3 linked regions of the Caenorhabditis elegans genome follow. The protein of the gene in region 2 purifies or fractionates together with the protein of the main gene of each other region. This does not show direct contact. Each region holds a gene or a part of one and is shown on either strand. Other genes may lie near its edges.

The links. The genes of interacting proteins can lie anywhere in the genome.
Region 1: the proteins of cpn-3 (region 2) and oig-2 fractionate together in Caenorhabditis elegans (co-fractionation; one large-scale study listed by BioGRID). This does not show direct contact.
Region 3: the proteins of cpn-3 (region 2) and unc-60 fractionate together in Caenorhabditis elegans (co-fractionation; one large-scale study listed by BioGRID). This does not show direct contact.

Annotation. Positions count from the first base shown.
Region 1 is NC_003280.10:13,004,084-13,010,910, forward strand, and holds oig-2 (Ig-like domain-containing protein), read right to left. Parts: upstream 4,082-6,827; 5' UTR 4,081-4,081; coding exon 3,971-4,080; intron 3,927-3,970; coding exon 3,836-3,926; intron 2,702-3,835; coding exon 2,576-2,701; 3' UTR 2,530-2,575; downstream 1-2,529. Other genes in the region: F18A11.5 (BTB domain-containing protein), read right to left, coding at 6,470-6,571, 6,683-6,821.
Region 2 is NC_003279.8:3,984,964-3,991,030, reverse strand, and holds cpn-3 (Calponin-homology (CH) domain-containing protein), read right to left. Parts: upstream 3,092-6,067; 5' UTR 3,054-3,091; coding exon 3,003-3,053; intron 2,956-3,002; coding exon 2,819-2,955; intron 2,770-2,818; coding exon 2,565-2,769; intron 2,513-2,564; coding exon 2,477-2,512; 3' UTR 2,332-2,476; downstream 1-2,331. Other genes in the region: aars-2 (Alanine--tRNA ligase, cytoplasmic), read right to left, coding at 4,647-4,820, 4,874-5,426, 5,497-6,067.
Region 3 is NC_003283.11:1,472,172-1,482,105, reverse strand, and holds unc-60 (Actin-depolymerizing factor 2), read right to left. Parts: upstream 7,021-9,934; 5' UTR 6,968-7,020; coding exon 6,965-6,967; intron 6,795-6,964; coding exon of another isoform or gene 6,699-6,794; intron 6,546-6,698; coding exon of another isoform or gene 6,319-6,545; intron 6,266-6,318; coding exon of another isoform or gene 6,166-6,265; intron 6,106-6,165; coding exon of another isoform or gene 6,034-6,105; exon of another isoform or gene 5,322-6,033; intron 5,225-5,321; coding exon 5,138-5,224; intron 4,768-5,137; coding exon 4,655-4,767; intron 4,156-4,654; coding exon 4,069-4,155; intron 2,904-4,068; coding exon 2,735-2,903; 3' UTR 2,530-2,734; downstream 1-2,529. Other genes in the region: C38C3.4 (non-specific serine/threonine protein kinase), read right to left, coding at 1-55; F53E2.2 (Actin-depolymerizing factor 1, isoforms a/b), read right to left, coding at 6,034-6,105, 6,166-6,265, 6,319-6,545, 6,699-6,794, 6,965-6,967. UniProt on the Caenorhabditis elegans protein: Depolymerizes growing actin filaments in muscle cells; required for the assembly of actin filaments into the functional contractile myofilament lattice of muscle.

The sequences.
Region 1 (6,827 bases), on a different chromosome or scaffold from region 2:
TTTTATTATGATTTTCGGTCATTTTGGCATTTGCTGTCAAACACTTGTCTCGTTAGCGAGAGGGTCCTTCAAATAATATTTTTCACGGCAAAAGGCAGTAGGCAGGCACGTAGGCATAAATGTGTGCCTTTTTATGATATTGTAAAAGATAATATGAAACAAAAAAATCCGGTACAGCGCAGAAGGGCAACGCCTCGACCAGATGGTTTTCAAAAAATGTAGTGGGTGTGCCTAGTGCAAAAGCAACAAAATAGAAGTGGAGTGCACAAAGTTGTCTTATCAATAATGACAAAAATGGTGTTGGGGGAATTTTACAATGTTTGCCAGGAATTGATAACAAAAACGGAGTTGAAATCAGTAGATCAATTTTAATGAACTACCCTAGAACATTTGAAACAGCTGGGAGGCACTCAAAAATTGATGGAATATAAAGTGGAGGTTTCCAAGTTGAAAAAAACTAAATCCTAAAACCAACCAACTTGAAACAGCTGCAAAATGGTTCAACTGTTTCCCCCCTTACCCTCACACACTCCACTCCTCCCTCCACCAGAGAATATGGCGTGGCAGACAAGATTTCGCGCGAAACGGTCATAAATCAAATAGGGAAATTGAGATATGGAAAAGACGGAAGCGGTGAGACGCAGACACTGTGAGAATAAAGGATATGGTTTCGGTTATACGGTTTTGATTGGAATCTTCTGCACACAGAGATGTCCGTGCTTTACTTCAACTTTTTTTTGGTTCCTTAACTGCCGCCACCATTGTTGATAGTAGTAGTAGTAGTCATCTGATTTTATGAGTGGTAGTAAAAATAGTGAGGAGTGTGATGGATACAGTGAAATTTGGAGTACGGTTTTTTTTTATTGAAATACCTTTTGATAATACTGTGATGGAATTTTGTAGGAGCGCTGAGACTGACAAAGTTGATAATATCAAACTTGGTAAACAATTTTTTGTGCAGTCTTCAATGTTTATTGACTTTTGTGTTATATTCATTTAAAAAAAATCAATTTTTATGTTTTTAATACGCGTTCTGTCTGTAGGCATTTTCAACACAAGTTACGCCTGCCTTGTAGGCCTTGAGGTAGGTTTTTCGCCTATATGGGAAAGCTAGATTCAACTGATAGTTATGATTTAGGTCTAATTTTATATTTCTTAATGTAGCTATTCATTTGATCCAATTGTTTGATACCGCTTGTCTAGTGATAAAATGTAAAATTTTTCTTATAAAAATTGAAATTTCGTTTTCCAGTTTTCGCCTAATCTATGTAAACCTAGAGGTTAATCAAAAATAATTATTGTTTCCACAACATTTACACTTCAATTATGGTTGAATTGTGTGTAGATTACAGTGGTTCAAATTTGCAAAATACTCTAAATTACTAAAAAAAAAAGCCTACATTTTTTTTGGGTAACTTACCAAAATTTTAACTGAAAATTTTGAAAAATCTAATTATTAGAAATGTCTTAAAAACTATAATGATTCAAGACGATCTGATATCATATGAAAACACTAAGTTTTTAGATTTTTCATGCTTTCCGGTCAAAGTTTTGGCAAATTGCCAAAATTTTGAAAAATATGTGCTTTTAAGGAAATCCAGAATAATGTCGCATTTTCCGACCCCTACAATATTTTAATAAAAATAATTAAAACAAAACTACAGTGTAAAAAATGTAGAGAACATTTTTTTTGGTCGACTTCTAAAATTATGAGTGGCAAAAACTGATTAATTTTTGACATTAAATTTTAAAAATTCAATAAATGTTCAAAAAATATCCAACCGTTTTTTATGATATTCGGTCATTTTGACACCAGAAAAGTAGTTTTCTACATTTTCCCCCTAATGACAAAGTTTTGGCAAATTGTCAAATTTTCAACTACATAGAATTGAGCTTAATATGAAATTTGTAGCAATGCCGCAAGTTCAAAACTTTCAAATAATAATATGCAATGAATTAATAGAAAAGTTGGCCATTGTTCAGACTTTAGGCGACAAAATTAGCGCCACTTTTTGCCGCAAAATTAAAATTTTCAATTTTTTTTTTTTTTGAAAAATTGTACTTTTATATTTGGCACACTTCATAAAAGTCTTCAAACATTCCCATCTTTGATTCTGAATGTTTACCAAAGGAAATTGACATCAAAGTTTGCTCGTACGGTTTTCATACTATTCTGTACCTACAGTTTAAACTATCAGCCTGTAGTTCAGATGTCCAAACCAAAAGTCTAAACTTTTAAACTAGAATTCTTATCAACTTGAACTCTCGAACAGATCTGACTCCAACATGTCGCCAACAAAATTTTCTCAATCAACATTTTTACTATTCTGCACATGTGATCATTTTTATTTCCTTCCAAAAACCGATCTCCCTGATCGGGTATACTTCGTTTTTTGTTCAATCTGTTTTTCTGAACTCTACACTCAAAATTCCTAGTATTTTTGACATCTTTTCTCTCTATTTCTGACCTTCTTATCACATGATAACCACGTTGTTTCTTCTACGAGTGATATTAAGATACAGTATAGCGACGGAAAAGTTTATTGGAAGAAATATTAAAGAAATCTAGCAGAATTTAGTCAAGAGTCTTGAAAACCTCTTTTCCAGTGCATTTGTAGATGTACTGCTGCTCAACGGAGTGTGAGCCATGGGTGTTTGTAGCAGTCACTTTGTAAACTCCTTGGTCCTCTTGGGTAGGGTTCTGGAAACATTTTCTTTGTTATTAACTTATCTAGAATGCTCATTTCTGGAAATTCATATGAAAATATAGAGAAGTATTTGTACTTTTAGAAGATAGCGTTATTTTAGTGAAGATTATGAAAAAGTGATCAAAATTGGCATTTGATTTAAAATGTGCCAAGTGAGTATGCCGATGGGTGTTACGGCATTGAGGCAATTTTTTAGCAACTTTTTGAAATTTTTAATATAAAGTAATTTTATTTTCAAAAAGTATGAATATTCCCATTGCCTAATTTTCATCATCAAGCTTCATTTTTGAGCTGAATTTCAAAAAAATTGTATGTGAATTATGCTGATGATCGATGGTGAATCTACCCAGTTATGGTGCATCTGACAAGTTATGGTACATTTGACCAGTTACGGTGAATCTAACCAGTTATGGTGCATTTAACTAGTTATGGTACATTTGACCAGTTACGGTGCATCTAACTTGATATGGTGCATCGACGGTGAATCTAGCCAGTTATGGTGCATATTTATTTTTGTTGGAAAATTTTAAAAAATCAAAAATAGTGCATGAAAGTTGACGTTTGCCAAAAAAGTGCCGTTAAAAGTGTTTAGACAAACGACAACTTTCAGACACTATTTGAACTTTTTTTTCAAACTTTTCAAAAAAATTTGTATTTTTTCCAGATAGAACAAACCTTTCTCTACGTTTCTATGTTAATTTTGCATGAAAAAAGTTGGATTATCATTTTGAAATAAACATTATTGTGGGTTTGCCGAAAAAATACCGCACAGCCCTTAAATATATGTTCGATTCCGATAAATGAAAAAAAAAACTTTCCGAAATTGTATAGCCTATTTTCAATTTTTGTTCCTGCCGGAGACCATCCCAAACTTTCCAGGAACGGTTTTTAAAAGAATGGCCGACATTTTCTAGGTCAATAAATTGTTTCTGAAGTTTTTTACTTTAAAATAAATGTGAAACAAAATCTCGAGGCAAGTGTTTCGAAGGTCAATATTACACCATGTTCTTACAATTTAAGTTTCCCTCTAAAAACCAGATCAAGTGTTCTATCCGTTCCTTTCTTCTTATTCTCTTCTTAATCTAGAATCCCGATCAGTTTATCAGTATTACAAAAATCTTACTTACCTTGATATGCAGTGTAACTGTGAACTTGCCAACCATCTTCTTGATCTTTGACACGTAACGATCACCAGTCAGCTCTTTGTCTTTCAAAAACCTACAGTAGTTAAGGTTAGGGGTTCATAAACCAAAATCTTTTACCATTTAACTGTTGGTTGTGGATTCGCATTACAGATGCATTCGAACAGAACTGATCCGTCTGGAGCAATGATAAGCGATGGAGCTTTCTCGAAAAACGGAGCCAAAACCATTCTGAAACTAACCTTTTAGAACTAATAAGATGGCTGAACATATGTAATGAAAACGCTCGAAGAGCTTCTCACTGATCAATTCCGTCAGTAACAGGTGACGGAAGCTGAGAGATTTGAGGGGCAGAGATGGAGAGATGAGTAGGCGGAGGGAGATGAAAGAGCACTTTTTTCTGAAGCCAACATGTTTAATAATATTGAGAAAAATGTTGAGGGCATTGATTGATTTGTTGGTTCAAAGCAAGTCAATGAATTCGATACACGCGATGAACAGCAATTGAAATGGCATAGAATTAAAGTTTTGGTTAATAATTCACTTGATTCTATGAATTTTTTTAATTATTGTATTTTTCTGATTATTAACATATCAATTTCTTATTCTTATAGAGTATTTTATATTTTCAGTCATTGATAGGACTCCATACTTTCTGGACGCGAAAATTTCCAATTTTTTTTCCCAAAACTACCTTCTATGAAAAGTTATTTATTCATTGGAAATCTCGAATAAAATTATCATTTCAAACATTGAAAAATGTTTCAGCATTGAACGCAACAGTTTATTTTCTGTTTTTTTCTACTATAAAACTTTTGTAAAATCACTAAAAAACGAAGATGGATCCCACTTTAATATATTTATGAACTGAGTACTAAAAGAAAACAAAAATAATTGTATCCAAGTTTATTTGAATTTGTGAATGGTGATTTTGGTGCTTCTCTCCGGAGCTCTGCCTACACAGTGCGGCATCGGATACACTTCATCTAACCTCTCTACCGGTGTATTTTCGGCTCGCAAAAACAGTTCAGAACTAGTAATATTAATAAGAATTGGCATTCGAAGATACTTGGCGGCCCATATCGCATCTTTCAGTTCCTCTCGATCCAATGATTTAACATAGTCAACTTCCCACGTAGAAGTGCTCGGAACTTCGACTCGATGACGGATGCACCAGGTGACAACCATCTTCATGGTAATTCCTTTGACGTTCGGAACTGGTATCACATAGTTGGAAGCTTTTCCCTGTTGGACTTGGCTTGCCATCTGGGAGAGGATCTCCGATTGATTCGGTGGACATTTCGAAATAGTGATCGTCGAAAGTTTTGAGTCTATAGAGCTCTTTTGATGACATGATGTACCTGGAAATTTGAATTGTGAAACAGGAGGGGTTTATTAGGCTCCGCCCATATAATGGTTGTGGTGAGAAGTTTGGAGGAAGGTACGGAAAAAGATATCACAAAGACAAGGGGCAAAACATTTTTTTGAACTACTCTGGGCATTCTAATTTGCTAGAAAGAAATGCAACTCTGGGGAAAATATAATAAAAAACACATTTTTCTAGGTTTCAAAAAACATTTTTTTAAACTTTCAGTGAAACAAAATCGTTTCAAAATCGACTATACATATGCTTGTAACCCGGGGGGAGCAATACATAAATTTCGAAAAAAGTGAAAACTTCAATCAGAATCGAGCTGTCTGATGGAATGTAAATTATGGGTGTTTCAAAAAGAGCACGGAGACGTGGTCGTTGTGGAAACCTAATGCTACATGTAATTATAAAAGACACAAGAGGACTTGAGCCCGCTGAGTTGAAAAGAATATAGACGTTAACTTGAAGTGAATGAGATCAGAAGATACCTGTCGCTTTGCTGGAAATTTTTGCAAAATTGTACGGAATCAGAGAATTGTTTTTTTTTAATATTTGTCACCGCATTTATACCTTCCAGTTTTGAGATTTTTCGTGGGAATTTTTGCAGAAAATCGCAAAAAAGTTTCATGGAAAAATCTTTCAAAAAACCAACAATTCAGAACCTCAAATAATCAAAATATTCTGAAAATTCTGAAAGCCGAAAATCGCCAAAAATTATTTCAGTATCTAAAAACAACTAACAATTCAAAACCTCTGATATTCATTATATTCTGAAAATTCAAAAAACTACAGTTTCAGAAGTATTTAAATTTTCTAGAAATTTGAAAATTCCGAAAAAAACAACATTCAAGAAATAGTTCTGAAATTCTAAAAATTTTGGATTAAAAATTTTGAAATTTCCAGAAACATAAACTTTCAGTTCTTTTTTTTTTGAAATTTCAGAAATTAATTTTTTTACAAATTGAATGTAATATTTTTGCAACTTTTATATTTTTCAGAATTTTTTGAACATCAAAGTTTCAGAAGCAACACGGAACCTGGTTTCGACACGAACAATGTTTCAAATGCTCGAGAATAAGCTCAAGCTTGAGTTTGAGCCTGAACCTAAGCCTAAGCCTAAGCCTTAGCTCAAGCCTGACCCTAACCTATGTCTTAGCCCAAGCCTAAACTTCAATGCAAAATTAGAAATATATAAATAATTTATTTATTTTTTGGAATCATTATATTTTCGAGTATCTTCTTCTTGATCACTGATGCAGCATTCCTGGAACCTTACTGAGCGCAGACTTTGGCAAATGAATCTGTTGACCATTGTCCCAGGCAACAATGCAGCAGTTTTCGCCCATCAACTGCAATTCAACAATCTCATTCTCTATTCAGCTCCTGGCCACCACCGCCAATAAAATATTTATTACTTGCCATATCCCCCCAATCTATGTAAAACGTCATAATCCTCGTACCTGGGTGACTTCTCCCGTCATATTATACATGTGATGTCGCATCGGTTCCCACGCAGTGTAGTTGATGTCGAAAAGGTAGGAGCATTTTGGATCTTGGAATTCTTCACATGCTATGCAACGGGCAAGGGTGTGGTTGTTTCTGGAA
Region 2 (6,067 bases):
AAAGGAGGACGGAATGAGCAGAATGGAAATGTCCGAATTGGGTCAATAGTGCCACCTGGGAAGAAAAACAAATGAGCTGATGGAGTATCTCAAGAGTCTTGCATCTAGACCGCTAGTTGGAATTAAATTTCGATCTACAGTAGATTATTCCCAGTAATTAAGCAATGGCTCCTCTAATGAGGTGTTCATATTTTTATTTGGTCTAGATTAAGTATGTATAACTTCTTCTAAATATTAGCAGAAAATAAAATTTCAAATGTGCACTGATTTTCAATTTTTTTTTAACTGAAAATTATGGAGAATTGGGAATTTCAAATGTGCACTGGTTTTCAAATTTTTTTAAACTGAAAATTATGGAGAATATGGAAATTCAAGACTTCACTGGTTTTCAAAATATTTAAAACCGAGAATTATGGGGAATATGGAAATTCAAGACTTCACTGGTTTTCAAAATATTTAAAACCGAGAATTATAGAGAATATAAAATTTCAAATGTGCACTGGTTTTCAAAATTTTTTAAACTGAAAACTGTGGAGAATTGGGAATTTCAAATGTGCACTGGTTTTTAAAATATTTAAAACCGAGCATTATAGAGAATATAAAATTTCAAATGTGCACTGGTTTTCAAAATTTTTTAAACTGAAAACTGTGGAGAATTGGGAATTTCAAATGTGCACTGGTTTTCAAAATATTTAAAACCGAGAATTATAGAGAATATAAAATTTCAAATGTGCACTGGTTTTCAAATTTTTTTAAACTGAAATTTATGGAGAATTGGGAATTTCAAATGTGCACTGGTTTTTAAAATATTTTAAACTGAAAACTGTGGAGAATTGAGAATTTCAAATGTGCACTGGTTTTTAAAATATTTTAAACCGAGAATTATAGAGAATATAAAATTTCAAATGTGCACTGGTTTTCAAATTTTTTTAAACTGAAAACTGTGGAGAATTGGGAATTTCAAATGTGCACTGGTTTTTAAATTTAGTTCTAAATAACTATAGTACTAAAATCCTAAGAACCGTACCTGTTGAAATAAGTATACTGATTTTAATCACCAGATAAAAGCGACCAAACACCTAATTTACACTCAGTTACCTCTACAATCTTACATACTCCGCACCTCTGAAACAACGCTGAAACTGCAATAACATAACGGATAATTATAGAGTACGTATGTGGTGTTTTACATAATTTTATGTATTCTTCTGAAAGCTCCCTTTGCAATTTTCGATGGGATCTTGCTTTATGTTTTTTGAATGTTTTGAGAAATCAGATCAGGTGACATTATTGCACTTGGCTCACAGCTTTCGATACTCCCACGCTGGTAAGAACAAAAATTGGAACCGAAAAAAACAAGAGAAAACAAAAATAATGAAGACCGAAAACTAGTGAACATTTGCAATTTTTAAATACATTTGTAAATAGAGCATTCCTCATTTGATTGGCACTTTGAGTAGAGCCAAGGGAAGTAGAAATTTTAACTGACTGATAATAAAGTGGACTGATTGTTGGAAAAATGAGGAAATTACCAGAGAATTGTCAGCATTCCACGTAGGCACATTCATGCCTGACTCTTGCCTACTGCTATTTTGGCAGATATCTCTAAAACAAAAATGATGAAGCTAAATTTGAAAAAAAGTTTTTGAATTAACTCAAAGTCAGTGCGTTCAATTAAAAAAAATCTTTTAGATGTGCTCTATTTAATATTTAAATAGAGACATCGTGAGTTGTTTAATGTTCATTAAAGTTAGGCTCCTTCTTTCGTAATGAAGAATTTATTTAAAGTTTTTTTTATTAATTATCCAGTAGTTATTTTTTACCCTACAAAGTTAAAAATTTCAACGTCAGAGATGTCCTAAAGCCAGTGCAAAAGTAATAGAAGAAATATGGTATTTCTTGGAAAATTGTGTTTTTGCACAATACAACTCGAAAAGTTCCAGTATTGAAATTTCCTGCCGTGCCTGAACCTCGATCGGTAATAGATCGTCAAATTTATTTAGAACGCGCAGTTTTACCAACTCTACAACCACAAGAAATTTCATTCTTATTGTCAACTACCAAGTTGTATGATCAATCTTATGATCTTCCGACTGTCATCATACTTTGCAACACCACCTCAACCTATCACTAGTTGCCGAGCGCCATCGGAGCAAAATCTGTGCTCGCCATTCGCCCCCAAATAATCCATTAATGTTTTTGCTGTGAAGCCCACTAGAGATCACATCCCGGCGTATAGAAACCAGAGAAACGTTACACATCTTTGGAACAGCTGCGTGCCATCAGAGCAGTCACTGACTTGAGGCAGAAAAGAGAGAAGAATCGAGCTTTGTTGACCAAACAACTTTATTTTGTTTTGTACAACAAAAAAAGAAGAAAAGAAGAAAATCATATTATTAGGATATGAGAAGGTATCGGGTGAAACATTGCAAGGGCTTGGCCATTTTTGGAATTCTTGAGTTGGATGGGTTGGTTTTTAGGCGAATGGGTTGGTCTTTCCGGCCTTTTGGAGCTGAAAATATTACAATTTTTATAGCTTGAAGTCAAATTTTAGATAAACTTACAACTCTGCCGAGCGAGAGAAGAGTGACGCAGACGGAGAAAAGATCGCGTCCTTCGACGAGCTCCACAGACTGGAATGTCTCCTCATTTGGTACTCCCTGCTTCTTGGCGAACTCGACGAATGCGTTGATGTTCTCCATGCATGCGAAGGTCGAGATCGGCTTTTGCACCTTCTTGATTGATCCGGCCTCGATTCCGTTGGCGGCTCTGAAAATTTTAAGATTTTGTTGAACAATACTAGGTAACAAAAACTCACTTGCAAAGAAGGGTTCCGTCCTTGAGAAGGTTGTGGAAGTTGTCGCGTTCTCCGGATGTAGAGATGTTCTCACCGGAGAGCTTCTTGATCCATTCGAGAAGAAGAGTGGCCTCCTTGTCGATGAACTTGGAGTCTTGCTGAAAAATGAAGAATAGCCTAACAAAATCACTGAAATTCACCAAACCTTTTGGCGGACAGCGAATCCGATTCCTCCGGCGGTGGTGCGATTGGCCATGGTGTTTAGAAGGGGGATAGTCAAAAAAGAATGACAATGAGCTTCTCCTCGCGTCGGACCTTGCTTTTATCAGATGCTCAAGCTCCGCCCACACCGGGGGAGCTTCCCGAAGGAAGATGGCTCGGGGGAACCAATTGTGCGTCTGGAGTCTCTTGCGGGGGAGAGATTTGCTGACGTGGTGTTTTGAAGTGGTGGGTGGCGAGAGGTGAAACGAACGGACCAATGGTCTGAGTCACTTGTTTCTACGGTGTAAAACGAAATATTTTGAAATTCATTGAAATATCAGAGATTATCATTCAAGTTGAAACGTCTGACCTGAGACTTCAAAGGCGCAAGAGGGTCTCGTCACGATTTACACCGGAAATTATTTGAATTCCAAGTTCTTGTCTTCCAATATTTTCAGTGTTTTTCTCCCGAAAATAGGGTTACCGCTCTTGCCACGATCGAAATAGTCCATAATCGACGAAAAATAGTGTGCGCCTTTAAGTTGTACAGTAACCCACTTTTTCCATTTGCCGGACTTAAAAATGGAGCCAATGCATTGACAGGGCCATGTGAATAAGCAAAACATCACAAAATTCTCTCAAAAGTTTGTTATAGCCCTTCAAATATCTAGAAATCATCCGCTGAGACTTTTTAATTCGAATTTCGCGCGGAAATGAATTTCATAGATTCTCGGCCGTGTACTCCTCTCGGACAAAGCGTGTACTCCTCTCGGACAAACCGTGTACTCCTCTCGGACAACTAAATTAATTTACTAATTGTTGAATTTAAGGCTGTTTTAAGCGATTTTTCGTATTTTATAATGAAATTTTATAATTTTCTAAAAAACTATAAAATTTGTGTCCAAAACTATCGATTTTCATTAGAAAAACAAGAGAATTCATGATAAAACACGAAAAATCGCCCGAATTCAATTGGATATATCTTTTTGGATATATAATTGAATATATTGGATAGATATATTAATATTTTTATCAATTGATTGTCCCAGAGCAGTACACGACCGGGAATCAAGAAACTTATCTCTTAAGCATATGTCTGGAATTTGTTCTCAAATCATTTTTCTAATCTGCAAAATTGCAAAAATCTGCTCTTTTCCTCCGTAAAACACATTCATCGCCATCTGGAATTCATTGCCGTTCCGTTTCTTTTGTTGTTCTTCACATTTTTGTCCATTGTAATGTTCAGATAGCTGTGCCACAAATTAGAGATGTCTGAAGTGTAATGCCACGTCACTTTCAGAAATCTCCAGAATCTTTCGAAACTTGTTGGCTGACAAGTCGAAGGTACTTTTTTTTTTGAAATCGATCGAGGTGTTGTTGATCCGCGAGTTGAGCAGCTGTCCAGCTGTCGCGTCCAACCCACTCAAAATTGTTGTTTTCGTGAAATGGGAAAAAGTTTGGCCTCTATTTACTGCATAAACATTTTGAAACCTCGACAAACCAGCAAACAAATTGAAACATAAAATAGAAATACGAAATAAATATAATGACGGGGAGGGAGAGCAATGAACTAGAATGCAACAGACAACAATAAATAGAGGAAAGGAAGCGATATGAAAAACAGGAAATAGATTGAAAATTGGGGAAATTAATTGATTGCAGCAAGGGCAAATTTCTGGGCGAGTTCGACGGCAGCATCAAGTTTATCGACATTCTCTCCGGTGAGCTGAGCATTTGCGTCCTTTCCACCACCTTTTCCACCGAGAACTGTGCAAACTTCATTCACCCACTCGTTGGCTTTCAGGCCGTTGCTCACCAAGCTCTGAAAAAATTATATTATTTTTCTGAATTGTTTCAAAATTTCAAATTTCTCACCTTATCAACTTTAGCAAGACACAAAACTTTTCCAGAATCTTCATTCACAGAGAAAGCCATAACTGCTTTTGTGTCCTTGAGAAGTTTCAGAGCATTATCGATGGCTTTGCTGTTAGCATTGGCGGCGAAGACGTGAACGAGAACAGTAGGCTGCTCAGCGACAGCAGCAAGTTCCTTGGCTTCTCCAAGAACCTTTTCAGCGACAGCGGCTTGTTGTGCCTTTGTGTATCCATCCAAAGTCTTCTGAATGGCCTTTGCCTTTTCACGGATAGAATCCTTTCGCCAGTATGGCAGCTGAGCTCCGTTGGCTTCATCGACAATTTCTTGAATCTTCTTCTGGAGAGCCTTGAACTTATCCTTGTTGGCCAAGAGCTCATCCTTCTTATCGGCATGCTTCGATTCTTCTTCTAATCGAGCAGTCAGTCGATCGGCTCTGGCAATGGCTCTTTCAGCTTCTGGTCCTGTCAATGCAACGATACGACGGATTCCTTTAGCAATAGCTTCTTCCGATGCGATGACAATGCGGCCAATGTGAGACACGTTCTGGAGATGGCTGAAATTATAAAAATTATATCAAAATTTAACGGGTATCATCATAAAATATAAAAAGAATTAGTACTCACGTTCCTCCGCAGAACTCGACAGTCGTGTTCTGTCCCTCCTCTGCATCAGGATTCTGGAGAAGTTGCTCAACTGGAGTTCCGACAGCGACAACACGAACTGGATCTGGGTATGTTTCATCAAACATCGCACGAAGTCCCTTGACTTTTTTGGCTTCTCCAAGTGGCGAGTTCTTGGCGTAAACTTGTCCTTTTGTGTCAATCAGCTGTTGAGCGTATTCCTCGGCTTTCTTCACTTGCTGAACAGTCATTCCAGCTTTGTTGGTGAAGTCGAATCTCATACGATCTGGAGCAACGAGTGATCCCTTCTGATCCGAATCGGCGAGAACTTTGCGAAGAGCATAGTTGAGGACATGAGTTCCGGTGTGATTCTTCATGATCAGTTGCTTCCGGTCTTCATCGAATCGTTCGTTGACCTGATCACCGACTGAGAAGCTTCCTTCGGCGGATCCAACAAGCACGATGTATCCACCACGAACTTGGCAGTTGCTCACGTTGAACTCGTTCGACTCGTCATTGACTTTTGTCAAAACTCCGACGTCGTAGATCTGACCTCCCTGCTCGGCGTAGAAAT
Region 3 (9,934 bases), on a different chromosome or scaffold from region 2:
CGATGGAGCACCCAGACGATTCGGAGTTTTCGCAACTTTCAAGGTCGAAGGACATTTTGTTTCTGGAATAACGTTTGCCAAATAACGATGGTAAATAGGAAGTTATTTGTAAGAGCTCGGAAAATAACGGTCAAGCTGTGAAGTTTCTCATTAAGTAGGAACTTGGCTTTTAGTTTTAGGTTTAGGCTTAAGCTTAGGCTTAGGCTTAGGCTAAGGCTTAGAATTAGGCTTAGACTTATGCTTAGGCTCAGGATTAGGCTTAGATTTAAACTCAGCCTCAGGCTGGGGCTTAGGCTTAGGCTTAGGCTTTGGATTATGCTTATGCTTATGCTTAGACTTAAGCTTATTTCTAGGCTTAAATTTTAACTGAGGCTTAGTCTTAGGCTTCGGGTTAGGCTTAGGCTTAGGCTAAGGCTTAGGCTCAGGCTTATGTTGGGCGTTGGGAGAAAGAGAGAAGAAGGAAATTCCAGAAAATTAAAAAATTCTGAAAAAATGAAAATAAAACAACCAAAATCTGGTAAAATCTCATGTAAAATTGCCCGAAAATTGCCAAAAAAAAAGCAACAGATCCAAACAAAATGACAAAAAGTTTTCCATAACCTAGTTAATCGTGATAAATTAGAATCAAACATATATCGTTTGAAGTTTGGAGGAAAAATAGGTTGCATGTAACACTAGTTTTGCTTCACTGAAAAAACTTTCTGTAATTTTAAAATAGAAGCTGGTAGATATCAAAAAGAATGGACGCAAGGTTGTCATGGCATACGACGTTTTTGAGGAAAACTAGCATGTTTGTATCAAATAAATAAGGTGTCAACCTGGAAAGCATCAAAACTCAATTTGTGAACGATCAAAGCCGATCCAGATGAGAATCGTTAAATGAACAATCACAAAATATATACCAAAGCAAACAAAAGAACTGATACCTCCCCTAGTCATCCCTTTTCGTCACAAGACCCTTTTTTTCTCCCACAAAATTTAACTTTCAATGACCTTTCACCTCAACAAAGCCCTAGAGATCACTAGATCCGGAGAGACTTTGACGAAAAGTCAGCTGTTGTTGTTGGGAATGGGGCTCATGGAAAACGAAAAACGAAAAGATAAAATAAAACTCAATGGGGGGGGGGGACGGATGAAAACTATGTTGTGCTCATCATACGAGCATCACTTGGCCCAGTGCCAGAAAATACTAGGGAAGTAATATAAGATAGCGAGAAAAAAAAATGTTAAGAAATCAAAAATCCGTATTGAAATGGTTGTGTGTGTGTGTGTTGCGAGAGTGTCTGAGCTTTCAATCGGATAAGAAGAAGGCATGTCGGTACACAGAAAAGAGCCGAACTATTGAAAATATGACGGATATTGCGATATGTATTGTTTACTGAAGAGCCGAACGGATAGAGCACGTAACAACTATCTCTGAAAAAAAGTACAGTAGTTCTCGAAATTCATGGTCGTGGAATTACACGGCCAACCATTTTTCAATAGTTTTCTTTGATGAAATAGTCAGGAAGAAATTAGTGTTAGGCTTAGGCTTAGGCCTGGGCTTAGCCATAGGCTAGGTCTTAGGCATAGGTTTAGACTTGGGCTTCTGCTTAAGCATAGGCTTATACTTAGGCTTAGGCTTAGGCTTAGGCTTAGGCATAGGCTCAAGCTTAGGCTTAGGCTTAGAATTAGGCTTAGGCTTAGGCTCAGGCTTAGGCTTTGGCTGGAGGATGACAAGAGAAAAAAGTAAACCCACAAAATGGCAAAAAAAAACCTTGAAATCTACTCAGAAAAAACATCAGATTTATGTGTTCTTCTTAGAAAAAATGATGCAGAAAAACCGCATCTGGAGAACATTTATTTGAAAAGGATTCCCATTATTTTTTGCGAAAAAAAACGAATCTAAAAACAACGGGAAACAAATGGAACGCGATGTTTTTTTCCGTTTTCAGAACACTACGAAAACTGATTTTTGAACAAAACTAAGCCAACTCACGGATTTCTGGCTTCCCTAATAAATTGAAATGGAAGAATTTGCCGAACTAGGCCATTTTGGCTCGGCCATATCTGGGGTAGATTTACGGCGCGTTGCGTGTCGCGTCGTGAGAAATTTTACTTCTAAATGCATTTGTCCGTGTGGAGTACACGACTTTCCCCAGGCGTTGTTTGGCTGGCGATTGTCAATGGAGCGCGAAAAATTCAATGAGGAAGGCCAGAACCCCGTGGGCCAACTCTGTTGGATTTCGAAAAAAAATCGATTTTTAAAAATTATCCAAAGAAAAGAATGTTTCGTGCTGTTCGTTTCAAGTTTCGAAACAAACAAACAAAATTCGAAGAAAAGTAGCATAACTTGTGCTCCTGCTTGTGCTCCGAGAGCCGGTGAGCACAAGTCGAGTGGCATCAGGTCAAAAGTAAAGAGATGCTCTCGGGGGGTGTGTTGTGCTCTATAACATCTGAGGGCTCTTGGGGGCTCTGGAAAAAATGGGTAATTGATTTTATTGTTTTTTGTCGTCTGGACGTCATGGAAAACAACAACTGACATGTTCTGAAGGAACGGATTTATTTATTAAAAGAAAAATATTTTTTTAAAAATTCCAGAGAAAATGGGAAATCAGAATTACAGACAAGAAAAGTCATAATTTAACAAGAAAAAAAAAGTTAAAGGCACATTTTTGACGGGCTTGGATGGTCCGAGAGACTAGTAGTACCAGAAAGAAATTGTAATTTGTGATTGGGATTCAATTGGACAGGCTTAGATTCTTTGGTTGGACATCAGGTCGCTCTTCACGCTCTTCTCGTCGAGGTCCGACATCTCGGAGGCCTGTACTTGGAAGAGGGACTCGAGTCCGAGGGACGCCTTGAGAGCACGGACCGAGGAGGCGTAGAGCATACGTCTGCGGACTGGGGCGTTGTCTGGGCAGCTGAAAATAGGAGTTTGGGAAGTGGAATGTGGAAATACATGGAAATTTTTTTAAAGAGATTCTTGTTAATGGCCGACATTTTGGTGGCCGAGTTTTTCTAGTTGATGGCCGAGGTTTCCTAGTTGATGGCCGAGGTTTTCTAGTTGATGACCGAGGTTTTCTAGTTGATGGCCGACATTTTGATGGTCGAGTTTTTCTAGTTGATGGCCGACTTTTTGGTGGCCGAGTTTTCCTAGTTGATAGCCGAGGTTTTTTAGTTGGTGGCCGACTTTTTGGTGGCCGACTTTTTCTAGTTAATGGCCGACTTTTTGATGGCCGAGGTTTTCTAGTTGATGGTCGAGTTTTCTAGTTGATGGCCGTGTTTTCCTAGTTGATGGGCGACTTTTTGGTGGCCGAGGATTTCTAGTTGATGGCCCACTTTTTCTTGTTGATGGCCGATTTTTTGGTGGCCGAGTTTTCCTAGTTGATAGCCGAGTTTTTCTAGTTGCTGGTCGAGTATTTCTAGTTGATGGCCGAGTTTTCCTAGTTGATGGCCGAGTTTCTCTAGTTTATGACCGACTTTTCCTTGTTGATGGCCGACTTTTTGATGGCCCAGGTTTTCTAGTTGATGGCCGAGTTTTCTAGTTGATGGCCGAGGTTTCCTAGTTGATGGCCGGTTTTTTGGTGGCCGAATTTTTCTAGTTTATGGCCGACTTTTTGGTGGCCGAGGCTTCCTAGTTGATGGCCGACTTTTCCAACGAGAATTTCAGTAAATTCGTTCATTTTTATCAACTTTCTTGGTTTTTTGTTTGGACGATTTTCTAGATTTTCCAGACGCGAAATTTTACGCTATCTGGTCTCGACACGACAAATTTTTGTTAAATTCAAACAGGTATGCGCCTTTAAAGAGTACAGTAATTTAAAACATTCGTTGCTGCGAAATTATAGTGTTACCGTTTTTTTAACGCAAAAATGCGGACAATTTCGAGCATTCCGGCTTGATCTACGTAGATCTACAAAAAAAGCCGGAGTAGAGACGCAGAGTTCTCAACTGATTTCTCATGGTTAAGAACGTGCTGACGTCAAATTTTCTTTGGGAAAAAAATCGCGCATTTTTTCTAGATCAAACCGCAATGGGACAGCCTGGCACCACGTGTATGTGTAATATTTCAATGTTGAAACTCACTATTGAACGAAGATGACCTTATTGAGTGTGCTGGTTCCCTCGGCTCCCTGTCTTTGGACAGTAACCTCGACGTCGACGGCAGCATATCTGCAAAAAAGGATGAATTGAATCGAGATTTCCGACGAGTTTTGTTGTTTGATAATTATCCAGACAAGAAATTTTGCGGTTTTTTTGCACCAACTGGTCTCGACACGAAACTTTTTTGTTAAATTCAAAATCATATGTGCCTTTAAAGAGTAATGTAGTTTCAAAATTCCATTGCTGCCAAATTTTCATTAATGTTTCACAGTTTCTTAATATTTATGTGAATTTTTTTCGATAATAAAACATTCCATGGAAACAATAATTTTGAAATTACAGTACTATTTAAAGACGCACACCTTCTTTTCTCTGCATTCATTTAACTAGTAAAAATTAGTCGTGTCGAGACCTAGCACCGTATTTTGGCGCAAAAACACAACTTTTCGCGTAGAATACACGCGACATTTAGGCTCAGACTAAGACTTAGTGTTAGGCTTAGGCTTATTCTTAGGCTTAGGCTTATGCTCAGGTTTAGGCTCAGGCCTAGTCTCAGGCTTAGGCTTACCTGCACTCCTTTCCGTCCTCAACAAGCTTCTTCATCTCCTCAACGAACTCGGCGTACGGAGCATTCTTCTCTCCGACCTTCTCGACGACGATGGCGGTGTCATTTTTGTCAATCTGATTATTTTTTGATTTATTTTTTTTCGATTTATTTATTTTTTAAATTTTTAAAAAATCAAATTTAGAAAATTATTTAATTATTACGGGAACAGAAAACTCTGAAAATGCGTACTGCACAACATATTTGACGCGCAAAATACATCAAATATCTCGTAGCGAAAACTGCAGTAATCCTTTAAATGACTACTGTAGCGCTAGTGTCGATTCACGGAAACCATTTATAAAGAAAATTGCAATAATTGAGCCCGTAAATCGACACAAGAGCTACAGTACTCATTTAAAGAATTACTGTAGTTTTCGCTACGAGATATTTTGCGCGTCAAATGTGTTGTGCAGTACGCATTTTTTTTTTCGCAGAATAACTCACCTTGAAGATGATGTAGCTGTGCTGATGCTTGTTGTGGAGAAGATCGTAGGCGTTCTTGCAGGATGGATCAACTTTGACTCCGGAAGCCTGTACTCAAAGGTGTTTGTAATATTTTTCTGGTTTTTATGTCAATTTTTGTTTCCTTTCAAAATTTTCCACGCGTGTTAAAACAATTGTTAGAAACTCCAAACTTGATTTCATTGTGATAATCTTAAAAAGCACAGCACATGAACGGTTTGGTGGGTGATTCTTCAAGGGGATCGGGCAGGGTGGGAAAAAAGTAAGAAGGGAAATGAATACGCAATAGAAGATTTGAAAAAAAAAGAATGGTGAGGAGATGGAGATTGAGAGTTCCAGTGGGGGAAAGTACACTATATAAATATAGAAAGCTTTACAAGAGAGAGAGAATATAATCGTAAATGAGAAGGGATTTACCACGCATTTCACTAAACAATAAAGATACTGAGAATCTGAGGGGATGTCTCAACTTCTTCATAGTACGGAAGGTTACCCGGCACATTGTATTAAATTAGTGGGCACACACAATCACTTGCCCCCAGGAAAAAAACAATCGTCAATCAGGAAAAAAACAGATAAAAATAGAGGATAAATTAGCAATGTTAAGAGGTGAAAATGTGAAGAAGACGCTTAAGAAACATCATCGAAACACATCGCCGCAGTCATGTTTTCAACGGATGATTCTTTGAGGACACCAAAAAAAATGAACAAGTAGTGAGGTTGGTAAGAAAAAAGCACCACAACAACGCACTAGCACATTCAAAGAGCACACGTGAAAACGATCAGAAATCATCAAGCAATGGAGAAAATGCGACAGACAGAGACGAGAATAATCGAGGATGTGACGGCGACGACGACTTCGGAAGAGACCCGTGTATCTAGTGATCTCCGTATTTCTCGCCCAACTTGTTGAGGAGTTCCTTGTGGCTCATCTCGCTCTCGTCAGACACCTGAAATTTTAATAATTTGATTTTTTTTTTCTAATTGTAAAAATTATCGAGATTTCTCACCTGGAACTGAAGGATTTTGCCGGTTCCGAGAGAAGTCTTGATGGCGGCGGCGGACGAAGCGTACACCATCTTTTTCTTGATAGAAGCACCATCTGGGCAGCTGGAAAAAAAATTAGATGGTACAATAATTCACCAATAGGATCAAGCGCTTACATCTGGAGGAAGATGATCTTGTCCATCTTGCTCGTGCCGGCTCCAACACGACTGCACGTGAACTTGAAGTCGAAAACGGCGTAGCGGCAATCGGTCAGATTATCGGTTCGAGACTTCACGTCCTCGACGAATTTGTCGAAAGCGGCCTTGGAAGAGTCATCATAGTCGTCTCCAGTGATGCCGAGCTGATCCTGAGTCACCGCGGCTTCCACGATCACCTTGTTCTCCTGGAAAATGTTGCAATTTAATAGGGAAATCAATAATGTTCATCTAAAACAATTAATTTGAGGATTTTTCAAATTTTTCAACAAAAAAAACAAAAAGTGGCACGAAATTTTTTTAAATTGATCTGATTCAGATTTTATTTTTTAAAAACTCACGTCGATCTTGAAAATGATGTAGCGGTACTCCTTGCGTCCCTCGGAGAGCTTTTGGAAAGATGTCTGCACATCTGGGTCGACCATGACACCGGAACTCTAGAAAACAGGCACACATAGGTTAGGTTAGGTTAGGCAAAAAGAAGAGAAAACCATTCCATTTTAGTGTGAAATTTTGGAAATTCAATGAAAAAAAAACACGCCAAACATAACATTCCAAATTTCTTTCAATTTAAAAATATTGAAGCGAATTAAAATCTCAAACTCACCATTTTGAGATGTTGTTGTTGGTTTGTGGTGGGGAAATAGAATCAAGTTGAGTTTCCTGCAAGAAAAAATGATTTTAATCAATCAATAATCGAATCACGAGAAGGGAAAAACGATAGTGAAGAAGCTCAACACAAAGAAAAAGTGTAACCCAGATAAGAGTCATAAGGGTCATAAGTGTGAGGTAAATTGGTAAAGTGATGGAAACAGAGAGAGAGAGAGAACAAGAGCCAAGAAAGTCCATTGTGATTGGCACAGAAGCAGGATGAGAAAGACGCAAAAAAAAAGAGACGGGGCCGTCCCTTCGGCCTAACCCCCAGCCCCAACAACACAACCGCCAGTCAGAGTGCTTGCCTGTGCGAGCGCGTCCGCTTAGATAGACGAGGACGAGGGACACGAGGAAAATGAAGAGACGAAGAGATAGAGCGAGATAGTGACAAGTAGAGGAGAGGGAGCGGAGAGAAAATGAAACGGGCAGCAACAGCAGCAGCAGCACCCAGCCCGAATGGTCATCTTTTCCGTCCCCTCCCGGAGAGAGAGAGTGAACGATCTGAAGAGCTGGTAGAGAAGAGAGTGAAGAGAGAAAATAGCGAGAACCGAGCAAACATTCGCCATGTGCAACACACACACCATTGTCCCCCGACCTTACTTGCTCTGCCCGAAATACCAAAAAAAAACAGATACGGACTACCTAGTGGTGAATCCGTTTGCACTTTCTCCCGGGCTTCAGTTTCTAGAAAGTACTGACAAAATTAGAAAAAAGTAGGAATGCACTGCTATTGATCGTATGAATCATCATTCAGCATCGAGGAGTACGTTATATACACTATGGTATCAACTGGGAAGGAGAAAGATTAGAAAACCACCCGTTTTTGTGTTGTACACAACAACGAGGAGGACGACGACGGTGTATGAGTCAGCGCATGGCGGTACGAGAATGACGGAGAGGGTTTGGAACAATTTTTGAATTGTTTCCAGACGTTAAAAATATTGAAAACAACATCGATTTCGGCTTTGAACAAGGGGCAAACGAAAAGGACATACCCGGAGGAGGACACACACACAGTGGAAACAATAGTTGATGAGAGTAATTAGCGAAAGGAACTCGGTGCTACGAGACAGTCGAAGCGTATAATCTCCACTTAGCGTACGCGCAGACAACTACACCGCCCATCTACTACCCCCCCCCCCCCCCCCGACATATTCTCTACTTTCGGGTTATTTCAACATCGGGTGAAAGTTCAGTGAGAAAAAAAACATATCATTTTCCTTGAATTCAAGTCGGAATGAGCATTATTAGCATAGAAGTGTTCAGATGGTTTGCGTGGGCGTAGAGAAAGGGCAAATTGACTGTGAGGGAGCCACCAATTGATCGAGGAACGAACAAAAACGCCAACGACGTGGGAGGAGTCAAAGTCATTAGCAATTGCGAAACAATAAGACACGCTCATTTCAGAAATAAAAAAATGAATTAGTCATCTTGAGAATTATTTTTAGAATCTTTTCTAGTCGCTCAGTATAATAATTTGACAGTGTATTTCAAGACAGTGTTTTTCGTATGCAAAAATATTAAATAGTCCAAGAAAACTCGGACGATTTAATTTAAAAGGGGAGTAGAGTTTGTAGTATTTTGCTTAAATAGACAAAAACTGGTCCAAAATCACCGAATTTCATAATGAGACTTCACAAAAAATTTCCAAAAATTTTTCATGGCCGGCCAAAATTCGAAAAAATGGCCAACTATTGCTAAAATCTGAAATTTCGCACACTTTTCTTTGTCACAGCCGCTGGATTTTAGTTTTTCTGAGATTATCACCCTTTAATCCTTATTTTGGTAATTTATCTCGCGGAAATTCGTTGATTGAGACACTTTTTGAGCCGATGGGCATCCAAAAATGATAAAAATTGTATGCCTATCGGCCTAAAAGTTGTCTCAATCAACGAATTTCCGCGAGATAAATTACCAAATTAAGGATCAAAGGGTGATAATTTCCGAAAAACTAAAATCCAGCGGCTGTGACAAAGAAAAGTTTGAGAAAATTCAGATTTTAGCAAAATTTGGCTCTTTTTTTCGAAATTTTGACCGGCCATAAACATTTTTGGATAATGGACCAGTTTTAGTCGATTTAATTAAAATAGCCACAAACTCTACTTCCCCTTTAAATGGTCTCCCAATAAGCAGCCGAAATATTTGGAAAACTGATGATTAGCTACAAAATTATGAAAAAACGAACGACTGTGAGAATTGTTCAAGGACAGTACGACTGCGTATCTTGTGTTTGAACGATGTGTCACTCACACACTTCTCATGGAGACAGACACATGTATTGATTGTCGTCGCCGGGCTCAGTTCGTCAGACGACGAAGGCCAGTCAAATGGTTTCTCAAAACGAGAGAGGATAGAAGAATCAATTGAGGAATATGTCGAAGTGCCAGATGTTGTAATGTGCGACACACGGAGTCGTTGATCGTCGCATCTTCCGGCACTGCTGCAGTGTCCTCCTCAACTACACTACACAACCGCCGCCGCGACCCCACTTCTCAAGAGTGTCCCCGTCCATCCGGCTGTTGGTGTGCCCAGTCAATAGAGGAAAAATTCAAATGGAGAAAAATAAGGTCGACAACGAGAAATGGATGATGACACATGAAAATTCTGGAATCTAAAACAATACAGAACAAAAGTGATGAATCATATATTTTTCAGACATGAAAGCGATCACAGAACGGGGGAAAATAGACCGAACGAACAGAAAACGTCCCGATGTTGCGCCCAAACGCGACTGATTCATTCAAATGTGACCCAGAGAGCGGTGAAGAAGCGGAGCGCCCGCGCTGCGCGCCGCCTGTCCGTTTCGTTTTTTTTTTTCGTTTTCCCCATCGATTGACACAATGGGCCGTCGCCTTCGTCACTGCCGCTGCTGCGCCTTCTTTCTGAATCGTCGGTCCTTGAAAATTAGGGGGATTTCTAGTAT